4 linked regions of the Saccharomyces cerevisiae S288C genome follow. The gene in region 1 interacts genetically with each later gene. Each region holds a gene or a part of one and is shown in the gene's direction. Other genes may lie near its edges.

Evidence for each region.
Region 2: of AGE2 (region 1) and AGE1, a mutation in one rescues a mutant of the other (synthetic rescue), as found in Saccharomyces cerevisiae (2 studies listed by BioGRID, with this or other methods).
Region 3: mutations in AGE2 (region 1) and AVT5 together harm fitness more than expected from each alone (negative genetic interaction), as found in Saccharomyces cerevisiae (2 studies listed by BioGRID).
Region 4: of AGE2 (region 1) and CSR1, extra expression of one rescues a mutant of the other (dosage rescue), as found in Saccharomyces cerevisiae (one study listed by BioGRID).

Annotation. Positions count from the first base shown.
Region 1 is NC_001141.2:272,442-275,796, reverse strand, and holds AGE2 (GTPase-activating protein AGE2), read left to right. Parts: upstream 1-1,950; coding exon 1,951-2,847; downstream 2,848-3,355. Other genes in the region: protein kinase PKP1, read left to right, coding at 1-689; CBR1 (cytochrome-b5 reductase), read left to right, coding at 871-1,725; putative protein phosphatase regulator PIG2, read right to left, coding at 3,020-3,355. UniProt on the Saccharomyces cerevisiae protein: GTPase-activating protein for the ADP ribosylation factor family.
Region 2 is NC_001136.10:1,486,977-1,490,668, reverse strand, and holds AGE1 (GTPase-activating protein AGE1), read left to right. Parts: upstream 1-1,678; coding exon 1,679-3,127; downstream 3,128-3,692. Other genes in the region: SNA2 (Sna2p), read right to left, coding at 1-73; API2 (Api2p), read right to left, coding at 435-764; YDR524C-B (uncharacterized protein), read left to right, coding at 871-1,071; YDR524W-C (uncharacterized protein), read right to left, coding at 1,177-1,266; putative serine/threonine protein kinase SPS1, read left to right, coding at 3,631-3,692. UniProt on the Saccharomyces cerevisiae protein: GTPase-activating protein (GAP) for the ADP ribosylation factors ARF1 and ARF2. May be involved in the endocytic pathway.
Region 3 is NC_001134.8:48,055-51,526, forward strand, and holds AVT5 (amino acid transporter), read left to right. Parts: upstream 1-1,519; coding exon 1,520-2,899; downstream 2,900-3,472. Other genes in the region: MAP2 (methionine aminopeptidase), read right to left, coding at 1-574; mitochondrial 37S ribosomal protein bS21m MRP21, read left to right, coding at 771-1,304; DNA-binding protein kinase TEL1, read right to left, coding at 2,965-3,472. UniProt on the Saccharomyces cerevisiae protein: Probable amino acid transporter of unknown specificity.
Region 4 is NC_001144.5:876,720-880,081, forward strand, and holds CSR1 (Csr1p), read left to right. Parts: upstream 1-1,562; coding exon 1,563-2,789; downstream 2,790-3,362. Other genes in the region: translocon subunit SEC61, read right to left, coding at 1-459; YLR379W-A (uncharacterized protein), read left to right, coding at 725-997; CTF3 (Ctf3p), read left to right, coding at 3,004-3,362. UniProt on the Saccharomyces cerevisiae protein: Non-classical phosphatidylinositol (PtdIns) transfer protein (PITP), which exhibits PtdIns-binding/transfer activity in the absence of detectable PtdCho-binding/transfer activity.

The DNA of each region.
Region 1 (3,355 bases):
ACCCAAAGTTTCAAATTTCGCAGTTCTTGAACTTCCACCTGAAGGAGAGAATCACGATGAAGCTGCTTGTGACGCACTATTTGTCGTTGATGGCACAGAACAAAGGTGACACGAACAAAAGGATGATTGGAATCTTGCACCGGGACCTCCCCATAGCACAATTGATCAAGCACGTTTCTGATTATGTCAATGATATATGCTTTGTGAAGTTCAACACTCAGCGGACCCCGGTCCTAATTCACCCGCCATCACAAGACATCACATTCACGTGCATTCCGCCCATTCTGGAGTATATTATGACAGAGGTATTCAAGAACGCTTTTGAAGCTCAGATAGCTCTTGGAAAGGAACATATGCCCATAGAGATCAATCTTTTAAAGCCAGACGATGACGAGCTGTACTTACGGATACGGGACCATGGTGGTGGGATCACGCCCGAGGTAGAGGCCCTCATGTTCAACTACTCTTACTCTACACATACCCAACAATCAGCTGACTCTGAGTCTACAGATCTGCCCGGCGAGCAAATCAACAACGTCTCCGGCATGGGCTTTGGTCTACCAATGTGCAAGACGTACCTAGAACTGTTTGGGGGCAAGATTGACGTTCAAAGTTTACTTGGCTGGGGCACGGACGTGTACATCAAGCTCAAAGGCCCTTCTAAGACTGCACTACTCTCCAAAAAGTAACAGTGCTAAATTTCCTCGTAAAGCGGTACCATTAAGGGCTCTTTCTACTTCTTTAAATTATCTACATATGTATAAATATTCTTATTATATAAGGCGAAAAAATGAACGAGAAAAAAAAGTGTTGAAAGTATGCATTCAACTGGCTCTTCAACAAGAGACTCAATCAATTAAGCAATCGAAGATGGCTATTGATGCTCAAAAGCTTGTGGTGGTCATCGTGATCGTGGTCGTGCCTTTGCTCTTCAAGTTCATTATCGGACCGAAGACCAAGCCTGTGCTGGATCCCAAAAGGAATGACTTCCAATCATTTCCGCTGGTTGAAAAAACCATCTTAACGCATAATACTTCGATGTACAAGTTCGGGCTACCTCATGCTGACGACGTACTCGGTTTACCAATTGGTCAGCATATCGTAATTAAGGCCAATATCAATGGTAAGGATATTACCAGATCGTATACGCCCACATCGTTGGATGGAGATACAAAGGGAAACTTTGAATTACTAGTGAAGTCTTACCCCACAGGTAACGTTTCTAAGATGATTGGAGAGTTGAAGATAGGTGACTCGATCCAGATCAAGGGCCCTCGTGGGAACTATCATTATGAGAGAAACTGCCGTTCCCATCTAGGGATGATTGCTGGTGGTACTGGTATTGCGCCCATGTATCAGATCATGAAAGCTATTGCCATGGACCCTCACGACACTACCAAGGTCTCTCTAGTCTTTGGGAACGTCCATGAGGAGGATATTCTGTTGAAGAAGGAACTGGAAGCGTTGGTGGCCATGAAGCCTTCCCAATTTAAGATAGTTTACTACTTAGACTCTCCTGACCGTGAAGACTGGACTGGTGGTGTAGGATACATTACCAAGGATGTCATCAAGGAACACTTGCCCGCTGCTACAATGGACAACGTTCAAATTTTGATCTGTGGTCCTCCAGCCATGGTTGCCTCAGTTAGAAGAAGTACCGTGGACTTGGGGTTCAGACGTTCCAAACCGCTTTCCAAGATGGAAGACCAGGTGTTTGTGTTTTAAGATAAGGAACTGTAACAGAGTGCCATATATATATATATAGATTGGAACATATATAATATATACGCTATTTAGTTTAGTCACCTAAACGCACCGTTTCCATATTTCGTGCTGGACGATTTTCGACTCGATAATACGTATAAGATCGGTACTAATAGTAACAAAAGTAAAGGTAATACTTGCTTCAACTGTACAAAGGAGCATAGAACGTGGGGCAATTTACAAGCGATGTCGACGTCAGTCCCAGTCAAGAAGGCATTAAGTGCTCTTTTACGCGATCCAGGAAACAGTCATTGTGCCGACTGTAAGGCGCAACTACATCCACGCTGGGCTTCCTGGTCACTTGGTGTTTTCATTTGCATTAAATGTGCTGGTATACATAGATCATTGGGAACGCACATTTCGAAAGTGAAATCTGTTGATCTGGATACATGGAAGGAAGAACATTTGGTGAAACTGATACAGTTCAAAAACAATTTAAGAGCTAACTCATACTACGAAGCTACTTTGGCTGATGAATTGAAACAGAGGAAAATCACTGATACGAGCAGTTTACAAAATTTCATCAAGAATAAATATGAATATAAGAAGTGGATTGGTGACCTCTCCAGTATTGAAGGGTTAAATGATTCTACTGAACCAGTTCTGCATAAGCCGTCTGCGAATCATTCGTTGCCTGCTTCGAATGCAAGATTGGACCAGAGCTCAAATTCATTACAAAAGACGCAAACACAACCACCTTCCCACTTATTAAGCACCTCAAGGAGTAATACGAGCTTATTAAACCTACAGGTTTCATCGCTTTCTAAGACTACATCTAATACAAGTGTAACTAGTTCTGCAACAAGCATAGGTGCTGCTAATACCAAGACTGGCAACAGAGTCGGTGAATTTGGGCAAAGGAACGATTTGAAAAAATCCATTTTATCTTTATACTCAAAACCTTCTGCCCAGACTCAAAGCCAGAACTCATTTTTCACTTCCACGACACCTCAGCCTTGTAATACTCCGTCACCATTCGTGAACACTGGAATTACCGCTACAAATAATAATAGTATGAATTCAAATTCCAGTTCTAACATTTCATTGGATGATAACGAGTTATTTAAGAACGTCTGGAGTTGAATAAAAAGTAAAAAAAGAAAGCAAATATAGAAAGCAACAAAAAGAACATCATTCCAGTATATTATTTTATATAAAGAAAATGACCTTCAAATAAAAATAGAAAGTACGTATTCTTATCTTTTTTTTTTCTTTTGTATATGTAAAACAATACTATTAGTTTTTGTTTTTTTCTTTAATGGAATGGGTTTCTGAAAAGACTATGTTTCATCTCGTAGTTATCATTGACGTCTGTTGTGGGCCCTGTCCTCGTTTCATTCGTTACCACGTCAATTTTATAGTTTGCCGAATCATTATTGTCCCAATATTCCTTCCTAGAACGATCAACGCCCCAAGTTAAGTATTGAATACAAAACTCCAATTGTGATATATTGCTATCTTTATCATTTGGATTGTGTATATCATCAATGGAGAACTTAAAAATATCCATATTGCTTCCTGGTAAGATGCCATTGGCATTAGAAAAATACACGCATTCTGATTCATGAAAAGTTCTCCATGCATCCCATGT
Region 2 (3,692 bases), on another chromosome or scaffold:
CTCTTTTTAGCCAGACTGCTAAGGGAGGAATGAAAATTGCAATAAAAACTAAAAACCAGTCGCGGGCGTGCATAGTGTAATTCTAAAGTTGTATGTTCTCTAATACGATGACTGGTACTTGCAAAATGCTTATTCGAGGACTAACTAAGATCGATCAGTAAAGATCTCTTGTCAATCAAACCTTTCTCGCACAATAGGAGACAGGAAAAGGGGAAAGAAAGTCGAAAAAGTGCGGGTTCCGGTACATGGATTATATCGCCCCGGGACAATGCGCGTTGCCCCTCACCGGCCCGGAATATACGCGTGGTTGCGCTCTTTCGTTACCCGCGACTGTTTTGGCGCCCCATTCATGCTACGCGGATCTGGACCTGCTTATTTCCCGAGAATACGTCCCGAAAAAGTAATGCAGTTTCCGAAATGGGCGCGGTAAGGGCCTAGGCCCAACGTTGGGCCTTTTTCAGTTCCAAAAAAACGACTCGTTGGGAGCCGTGCGGTCCCGTCTTCGGGCGTGATTGGCCGCTTTGGCCGCTTCTGGGCGTAGGACGCCAAAGTTTATTTCCAAAATAGCGAAGACCAGAGCCACGCCTTTTCTTTTTGCAAGCGGAATATCCGCTTGAGAAATGAGAAAAAGAAAGCAGAAAAAAAATCATCGCTTTTTTCACGTTTGTTACATGAGATATGGTGCTGTGTGTCATCGCGGTGGTTTTCCTGGCTTTTCTCCTCATATATAAGGAACTCGAGAAATTCTTGATTTTCTTTTCCATCTTCTCCTACTGTATTATTTACTTTATTAGTTAATATTGTTTTTGATTTTAGAGGAAAATCATCATTAAACATAAGTTTCAATCAACACTAATCATCAACAAAACAATGCAATTCAAGACCATCGTCGCTGCCTTCGCTACTGTTGCCGCTGTCCAAGCTGCTAACGTTTCTACCAATGGTTCCAACCGTACCAACGGTTCCAACACCACCAGCACCAAGATCTCCACTGGTGCTGCTGCTTCCAACGCTTTGGGTGCTGGTGTCTTCGGTGCTGCCGTCGCTGCCGGTGTCGCTTTCTTATTCTAAGTTCTTTAATTTTGAGTTTAGAGACATTATACTCCTATAATATCGAAAAAATTTTTTTATTATCGCTACACAATCAAGTTTTTATGTGCTTTTTTAATAATATTATTATAGAACAAGAAGAAAGACCGCTCTTTCCTTGAAGGGACCAAAGAAGGAAAAAAAATATGTTGGAAGGGTTTTATATGATCTTTTCATGTTCGTTCACTTGTAATGGAATATTAGTTAGAAGATGTAAATAACTTATCTGTTTATTTTTATTTCCTCTCTATAATTATTACCTGTATTAATTCATTATCTAATATAAAATCTAATCTAATAATAGAATTTTCTGATGTTTATCTTTTTTTTTGTCGTATTCTCGGCGAATTAATCGCGGAAAATTTCATATCGAATTTTAAAGGAATGTCATTTTGAACGCTAAAGTATTATTTATTCTCGTCCGATGTTGGTTTTTTTTCCTATCGCTGTCGTTATAATAGTACTTGACGAAGAGAGAAGAAAAGTAAAAATTTGAGCGAAAAAGAGGATAAAAATCACATTGAGGCAGAGTGGTTAAGGTAGCTGTACCAGTCATTTTGAATACATTTTTCTGGATGTTCCATCAATAATGGATTTTTATACTACTGATATCAACAAAAATGTTGTGCCTTTGTTCAGTAAAGGAACAGTAGCAAGAACAGCATCAAAAGCACAGTATCCATCATGGTGCAACAACGCGTTAAAGTTAACTAATATTCTTCTTAAATCTCTTCGATGTAAATTTCAAACGAACCGCTGCGAGGATGATCGAGGTTTTGAGGTATATTGTGTTATTTTAAAAAGCATCGCTTTATTAATGGCCGCGAAAGAATCATTGATATTACTACAAATACCTCCTTCTTTACCATCAGGATTTCCATTTCGTTCACCCCAACTGTCATTTACATATTTATCAACCCGTCTTAGTGGGAGCCAACACAAATCTACGCATTCTCATCACATCAATCATCAAACTCATCCCATTCATAGTAGCAGTAGCAACAGTAATAGTAATAACCGTATTCCTACAAAAACAGATTCCTCCAAACAGCATACACAGCATTTCTCTTTTGCTAATGCGGGAGCCTCCAATAGAGACGAACTGCTATCAATCGTGCGCAAAATTGATAAATCTAATTTGAAGTGTTGTGACTGCGGTAGCACCGCAACAGTAGAATGGGTGTCAATCAATTTATTGTGTATATTGTGTATCAAATGTTCGGGCGTTCATCGATCTCTGGGTTCACATATCTCCAAAATTAGATCTTTAACGCTGGATAATTTCACCTCGTTAGAGTTGATGCATCTTTTACAAAATAATGTTTCCAATAGTAATGTTAATGCCATTTATGAAAGCAATCTCAGGAACTTTCCAGTTAAAAAAATAACTGCAAATTCTGATGACTCGGAAAGATCCAAATTCATTATTGATAAGTATCAATTTAAAAAGTTTGTTATCGACAGCAACCAAGGCAGAGAGGCTTCTTTGAAGTCTTTAATTAAAGCTATCCATTTAGATAGTGTTTTCATGATGCAAAGAGCCATCGCCCAAAGTAAATATTCCCTAAGAGAATTGACGGCAAGCGAAAAAGAGCAGAATGATCTAAACCATTCTTCCATTTTTCAATATTCCCTAAAGCACTATGAAATTGTTGATGGAACGCCCATTTTTTTTATTACAGAATTTTTATTGTGCAATGGTATTCATATAGATAATTTACCGAAGATTACTACGAATTGGTCTCCAAAGGTTTTAGAATATTGGGAAACTAAGTTGGAGATGTACGGAACATTCCAAGCTGTAAATACTTCTCGTCCAAGATCAGGGCCGCATTTAAATATGCATTCAAATGTAGATTCAGCTTCGTCCTACAATAAGAAACACGATTTGAGAGTTAACATACCTGAAAGAAGTGCCTCAGCAAGTAAAAGGTGGAGTTTGAGCTCCATTCCTAAGTCTTCTCAAAATTTGATGTCCCCAACAAACTTATTAACAATGCATAAGTCTTTAAAATTGGCCAAAAAGGACAAAAAATAACATATATGATAATTTAACTGTATTTTTTTCCCTTTTCTAATACTTTTTCCTCAAGTTATATTTCGGAGCTGTCCCAGGTTCGGAACAATGCGGCATCAGGGATAAAAAAAAATGACACATAAAAACGAAAAAGACACAAATTCCATTTTTTTTTTTTGACGCGAAAGAATGACACTACTTTCTTCTATTGTAACCATTTCTAACATCGATATTTTACTTGTTAGTTCAGATATATACTAAAGAGTCACTTAATATACTGTTTTTGTTTATTATCTTGGTTCCAACTGCTTCATTTAATATTTCCTATCCAAAAAAAGCCAGCTAATTCTCTTCTTTTTTTTTCTTATTTTGCCATTTTCAATATTATCGATTTAGTGAACACCTGGCTAGTCAGTTGTCTTAGCAAACATTTCTCAAAAGAAAGCAAACCAGCATTTGCTTTTTAAATTTAGTTTTTTTACTAGCTAATTCATTTACTAAACAACAAAAGAAAATAGCACAAAATGGAAAGCAAAGAAATATCAATTAGGTCAAGAACCCCTCCATCGAAGCTATATTCCATCCA
Region 3 (3,472 bases), on another chromosome or scaffold:
TCATCACGTCTTCGTATTTCAGAACGGTTTTGTCGCCTGCATTGGGTGTGAAATGTGCAGCACAATGGTTGAGAGAGAGACCCGTTGGAAACCCAATACCTTGAGATTTGGGATCCTCCATCGCTAATAAATTTTCGGCACCTGTATACTTTCTTGTAGTATTTTCGATCATGTCAGCGATATCCATTAACTTCATCCCAGGAACGATTCTGTCCTTGATGGCCCTTCTCACACGACGATGTATCTCAGCACCCTTTCTGACATCATTCCAATGTTCGGCCCTTTCCAGATCCCTTTTCAAATAACGTGATTCTTCATCCGTGGTTCTTTGCAGATTGAAATCTTGATGATAGTCCATCCACGCACCTTCTGGGTACTTTCCATCTGGAAACAGTAATTCAATCTTCTTCACATTGCTTTTCTTCTTCTTCTTTTTCTTGTTCTTCTTCTTTTTGCTTTCTACTGGGTCTGACTCGTCAGCTTTTGCCTGGTCTTGCTGTTCAACGCCTTCATTCTCCAAATTCAATTCTTTTAAATCAGAAGCAGGGGAATTTTCTATTTCAGCGTCTGTCATTTTTCAATACGGTAGAGCTTCTACAGTACTTGTTGATGTAAAAGCCCACTTATTAGCTTCTTGCTATGGCTTCCTTTCTTTTTTAAGTTCGCTTCTTTCCCAAGATTGAAAATAAAAAATAAGTGAGACCAGGTCATTAAAGGTCCCTTGAAGAGTAAAAAATCTGTCAAATATCACCCATAAGAGCATAACCATAATGTTGAAGAGCACGCTGAGGCTTTCAAGAATCTCTCTCAGAAGAGGTTTCACAACGATCGACTGTTTACGCCAACAAAATTCGGATATCGATAAAATCATACTAAATCCAATCAAATTAGCTCAGGGAAGCAACAGCGATCGTGGCCAAACCTCTAAAAGCAAAACTGATAATGCAGATATTTTATCAATGGAAATTCCAGTAGATATGATGCAATCTGCTGGGAGAATAAACAAGAGGGAGCTTCTATCCGAGGCGGAAATTGCTAGAAGTAGCGTGGAGAATGCACAAATGAGATTCAATTCTGGAAAATCTATAATCGTGAATAAGAACAACCCTGCAGAATCATTTAAGAGATTAAACAGGATCATGTTTGAGAACAATATTCCCGGAGATAAAAGAAGTCAACGGTTTTACATGAAGCCGGGGAAAGTGGCTGAATTGAAGAGATCTCAAAGGCATAGGAAGGAATTCATGATGGGCTTCAAGAGGTTGATTGAAATTGTTAAAGATGCCAAGAGGAAAGGATACTAATCGTACCATCAACTCTTGAATATTGTGAAATTTTCGCCATTGATTTCCGTCTTTGTAAATAGGTAATGCGTAACTATTTAGTTAAATTTTTGTATATTTTTTATTCTATGACTTCACTTATCCATTATTTCCATCGTCAAAAAAAGGAAATAAATACTGTTGCTCGAACGAACAGCAAGATAAAGTGGAAACGAAAAGTAAGCAGCTTCCTCAATATGCCGTCAAACGTACGTTCGGGAGTCTTAACTTTGCTCCATACAGCATGTGGAGCAGGCGTACTTGCAATGCCGTTTGCATTCAAGCCATTTGGGTTAATGCCTGGTCTGATAACGCTAACATTTTGCGGAATATGTTCCTTATGTGGGCTGCTATTACAGACTCGAATAGCGAAGTACGTACCTAAATCTGAGAACGCCTCGTTTGCTAAACTCACCCAACTAATCAATCCGTCAATAAGTGTAGTGTTCGATTTTGCCATTGCTGTTAAATGTTTTGGCGTTGGTGTATCTTACTTAATTATTGTTGGTGACTTAGTGCCACAGATAGTGCAGTCAATTTTTTATCGTAACGATGATAACATGAGTGGTTCGCAAGAGCATCACATGTTCTTAGACAGGCGTTTGTATATAACTCTGATCATAGTGTTTGTTATCTCCCCTTTATGCTTTAAAAGAAGTTTGAATTCTCTACGATATGCTTCTATGATTGCCATTGTTAGTGTCGCATATTTATCTGGTTTGATTATTTACCATTTTGTAAATCGGCATCAGCTAGAGAGAGGGCAAGTATATTTTATGGTACCTCACGGAGATTCTCAGTCTCATTCTCCCCTGACTACATTGCCAATTTTTGTGTTTGCTTACACTTGTCACCACAATATGTTCAGTGTAATTAATGAGCAAGTGGATAAGAGCTTCAAGGTAATCAGGAGGATTCCGATTTTTGCCATCGTGTTGGCCTATTTTTTATACATCATAATTGGTGGTACAGGTTATATGACATTTGGTGAGAATATTGTAGGAAATATCCTCACTTTATACCCGAATTCCATCTCCACCACCATCGGGAGGTTAGCAATGCTGCTATTAGTTATGTTAGCATTTCCATTGCAATGCCATCCTTGCAGATCATCGGTAAAAAACATAATTATATTCATTGAAAATTTCAGAAAAGGTAAGTTATACGATAACAGAGCTAGCTTTATTCCATTAGACAACTTTAATAGTGAAGATCCGCAGGAGGCGCCAACCCAACAAAACAACGAAGAGCCAAATCTGCGTAGTGAGTCTTTACGGCATATCAATATTATCACCCTTTGTATCTTACTGTTCTCATATCTACTGGCTATTTCAATTACGTCTCTAGCAAAAGTCCTAGCAATAGTTGGTGCCACGGGATCTACGTCGATTTCTTTCATTTTGCCAGGCCTTTTTGGTTATAAATTAATTGGCTCAGAATTTACGGGCACGAATGAAAGAGTACCGACAAGCATAAAAATATTCAAATACTTAAGTTTATCTCTATTCATCTGGGGGATAGCAGTAATGGTAGCTTCACTATCAGCGATTGTATTTTTGGGCACATCATCACATTGAGTTTGTACATTACTTTTCGTATTTCTATAAACAAAAAAAAGAAGTATAAAGCATCTGCATAGCAATTAATAAAAAGGTGACCATCCCATATATATAACACTCAAATTTGATGGATCCGTGGCTTGCTGAATCAAATCTTGTACGCTAGACTCTACACTTAGTCCATTACCCATAAGCTTCTCTTCTACACCTTTAAGGGCCCTATAAGACTCTTGGTTTTCGTTCCTGTCGTTGTTACTTATGAACTTGCTGACGTTATCGAAATTTGTAATTTCATGTTCTTCTTCAAATAAGTGTTCGTATTTTTTAACTGGTGACATTACCCAGGAATAAAGGGGATCCCATTTTAAGATATTCAAAACACACATCACCTTGACATAATCTTTTCTTAATACTGCGTAAACTCTTTCACAACTCCGCCTGAATAGGCCATCCACGCCTGTGACTCCAAATCCATCAACGATATCTCTAGTTAATCTGAAAGGGACCAACTCTGGAATGGGGAGTAATTTTCCCTGATCAAACGCAATTCCCAGGTCTATATGAATAGGCTCCCCTGTTGAGCAGTCAAGC
Region 4 (3,362 bases), on another chromosome or scaffold:
TAACAACAAACAGATGGGCAATCCGAGGTCCGAAGGGGCACCGTAGTTACCTGTCATGACGACCACAAGGGCTTGGCCCAAGATCAGAATAATAGCGCACACCTTTTGAGCAATTTGGAACAGCTCTCTGTCCTGCTTGCTCTCAGGTCTGATTTGTAAAAGCTGAGTACCCTGCAAAAATTGGAAAATCATAGATGAAGTGATGATGGGCGAAACACCCAATTCCAGTAAAGTACCACGGTTGGAGGCCAGCATGGCACGTAGCCAGTACAGAGGGTCGGAAGTCTCACTGGACACGATCCCGTACAGCGGAATCTGGCCCAGAATCAAAAAGATCAGTAGAGAAACGCCTGTCCAGATAAGTTTCTGGTTGTATGGAACCTTCCTTTCTGGAGCAATCACTTCCGGCAGGAAAGATTCAAATGGCTTAAACAAGTCTAGAACACGGTTGGAGGACATTTTCAAAGTAAAGCGTGAACCAGTGTCAGTTTTTCTACTTGCTACTATATTTAACTATGTTTTTTTCTTTTGCTTTCACCAACTGAACCTTGTAGTAAATGGAGTGAGGTTGAATTGAGGACTGAAAAAAAGGTTAGTTCGGAGGCCGCTGAAGTTTCCGATTGGGAGCAGGAATTGAGGATGGAGGGTGCAAAGTGAGGTCCTTGATTTGTTGTTTTTACACTAAACTACGTTACCACCGTAACGCCAATTCAAGGCAGGAATTATGCTTGTTGTTTGGCAAAAGTTGCCGAAAGAAAGAATGAGAGAGAACGACAAAGAGAATGAGAGAGAACACGTAAAGCGAAAAATCTGGAGCGCTGCCGCGCCGGGTAACAAGTGTGAAGAGAGAGAGAGATGTAAGGAAGATGAATACATTCAATACATTCTAGCTTATAGCAAGCTTTCAGCAGGCTCAATTGCTTATAGCGGTATAACTGCAACAAGAGTGAAAATTAATATGGTGACGAACGACGGATTCGGTAGTACAGTGTTATAATGCCGGCAATTACCGTATGCCATCGGAATCCAGATGCATTTCTGAACCTTTCCACTCGGGAAAACCACTCGTCATGTCACACGGAGAGTTGGCCATGAACTGGCTAATGGGATGGTCTAAGGCGACCACTGTAAGAAGAACAAGAGATGATGCAAGCTAAAGCAAGCAGGTCTCAAATAAACGCTACTTGTGCCGTTGACAGCTTGTTTATCTTGCACATGGCAAGGCCATCGCGTCCCTGCGTCCCAAGAGTGCGCGGTATACGTGCGGCCCTAAACGAGGCGGTCTCTGTTCTCTGATATATTTCTTTTCTTTCTTCGTTGTTTTGTTTCGTGTTTGTTGAGCTCCTGCCTTCAATCGGCATCGTCCTCTTGCGTACGTACATAAAATCGTTACAGCTTTGTTCACATGGTGAAAACAATAGCGTTTGGTACGCTCTTTAAATCTTGGCACTTGTCACTTACGCTCCTTTAAACAAAATCAAACATACAAATATACGGATACGTACGCACACAGAAGCATAAAAGCACAAAAGCACATAAGAAGACCACATATAAACTAGATTATGTCCTTTGATAGACAGTTGACCGAAGACCAGGAGGTCGTCCTTAAGCAAATTTGGACACACCTTTTCCATCTGTGGCAAGTTCCCGTGGATGGAACTCATATTTTCCCTAATAACTCCCTCCACTCCTCGTCCACCCCTGCTAAGAAGAAGAAATCATCCTGGTTTAGCAAGCTTCAGTCCTCAGACCATACACAGGACTCCAGCGAAGCCGCTGAAGCGGCACACCTCTATGAAAAGGGCAAGATACACAAGGCACTAGCCAATCTAGACCCGCAAACGACCAAGAAGCAGTTCTGGCACGATATCAAGAATGAAACTCCAGACGCCACCATTTTGAAGTTTATCAGAGCCAGAAAGTGGAACGCAGACAAGACCATCGCCATGTTGGGTCACGATTTGTACTGGCGCAAGGACACTATTAACAAGATCATAAACGGTGGCGAAAGAGCTGTGTATGAGAATAACGAGACCGGTGTCATTAAGAACCTGGAATTGCAAAAGGCCACCATCCAGGGTTACGACAATGACATGAGGCCAGTCATCCTTGTGAGACCTAGATTACATCATTCTTCCGACCAAACTGAACAGGAGCTGGAAAAATTCTCCCTGTTGGTCATCGAGCAATCAAAGCTTTTCTTCAAAGAAAACTACCCCGCATCCACCACCATCTTGTTCGATCTGAACGGGTTCTCCATGTCCAATATGGACTATGCCCCCGTCAAGTTTCTAATCACTTGTTTTGAGGCTCACTACCCGGAATCTTTGGGCCATCTACTTATCCATAAGGCCCCTTGGATCTTTAACCCGATTTGGAACATCATCAAGAATTGGCTGGATCCGGTCGTCGCGTCCAAGATTGTTTTCACTAAGAATATCGACGAATTGCACAAGTTTATCCAACCCCAATACATCCCTAGGTATCTGGGCGGAGAAAATGACAATGATTTGGATCATTACACTCCACCAGATGGCTCTTTGGACGTCCATCTGAAAGACACCGAGACTCGCGCTATGATCGAAAAGGAGAGAGAAGAATTGGTCGAACAATTCTTGACTGTCACTGCCCAATGGATTGAACACCAGCCATTGAACGATCCAGCATACATTCAACTGCAGGAGAAAAGAGTACAACTTTCCACCGCTCTTTGTGAAAACTACTCCAAGTTAGATCCGTACATCAGATCAAGATCCGTTTATGACTACAATGGTTCTCTAAAAGTTTGAGCCAAGCCACGCGACGCTCCATACTGTATAGACCTTTATTATAAAAACATCTATTTCTTTATATGTCCCTCTATCTTATTTTTCTTTTACTTTTATTTGTATAATACGCGAAAAATTATAGAATCATTTATTATCAAAAACAATCAACTATGAAATGAAAAACAATACGCCTGCTAATACGGTTCGCCCTTCAATTTTTGTTTTTTTTACATGAATGAGTCTTATACTAGATGATATCATCCTCTCACTAACGAATGCTAACGAACGAACGCCACCACAGGCCCTTAAAACCACTTTAAGCCTGCTATACGAAAAATCAAAACAATATGGTCTTTCTTCGCCGCAACTACAAGCACTTGTAAGGTTACTCTGTGAAACTTCCATAATAGACACAGTTACAAAAGTGTACATCGTCGAAAATTGCTTTTTACCTGATGGCTACTTGACGAAGGAACTTCTTTTGGAGATTATTAACCATCTCGGTACGCCAACGGTATTCTCTAGATATCGCATACAAACGCCTCCGGTCCTACAATCTGCGTTGTGCAAATGGTTAGTGCATGTTTATTTCCT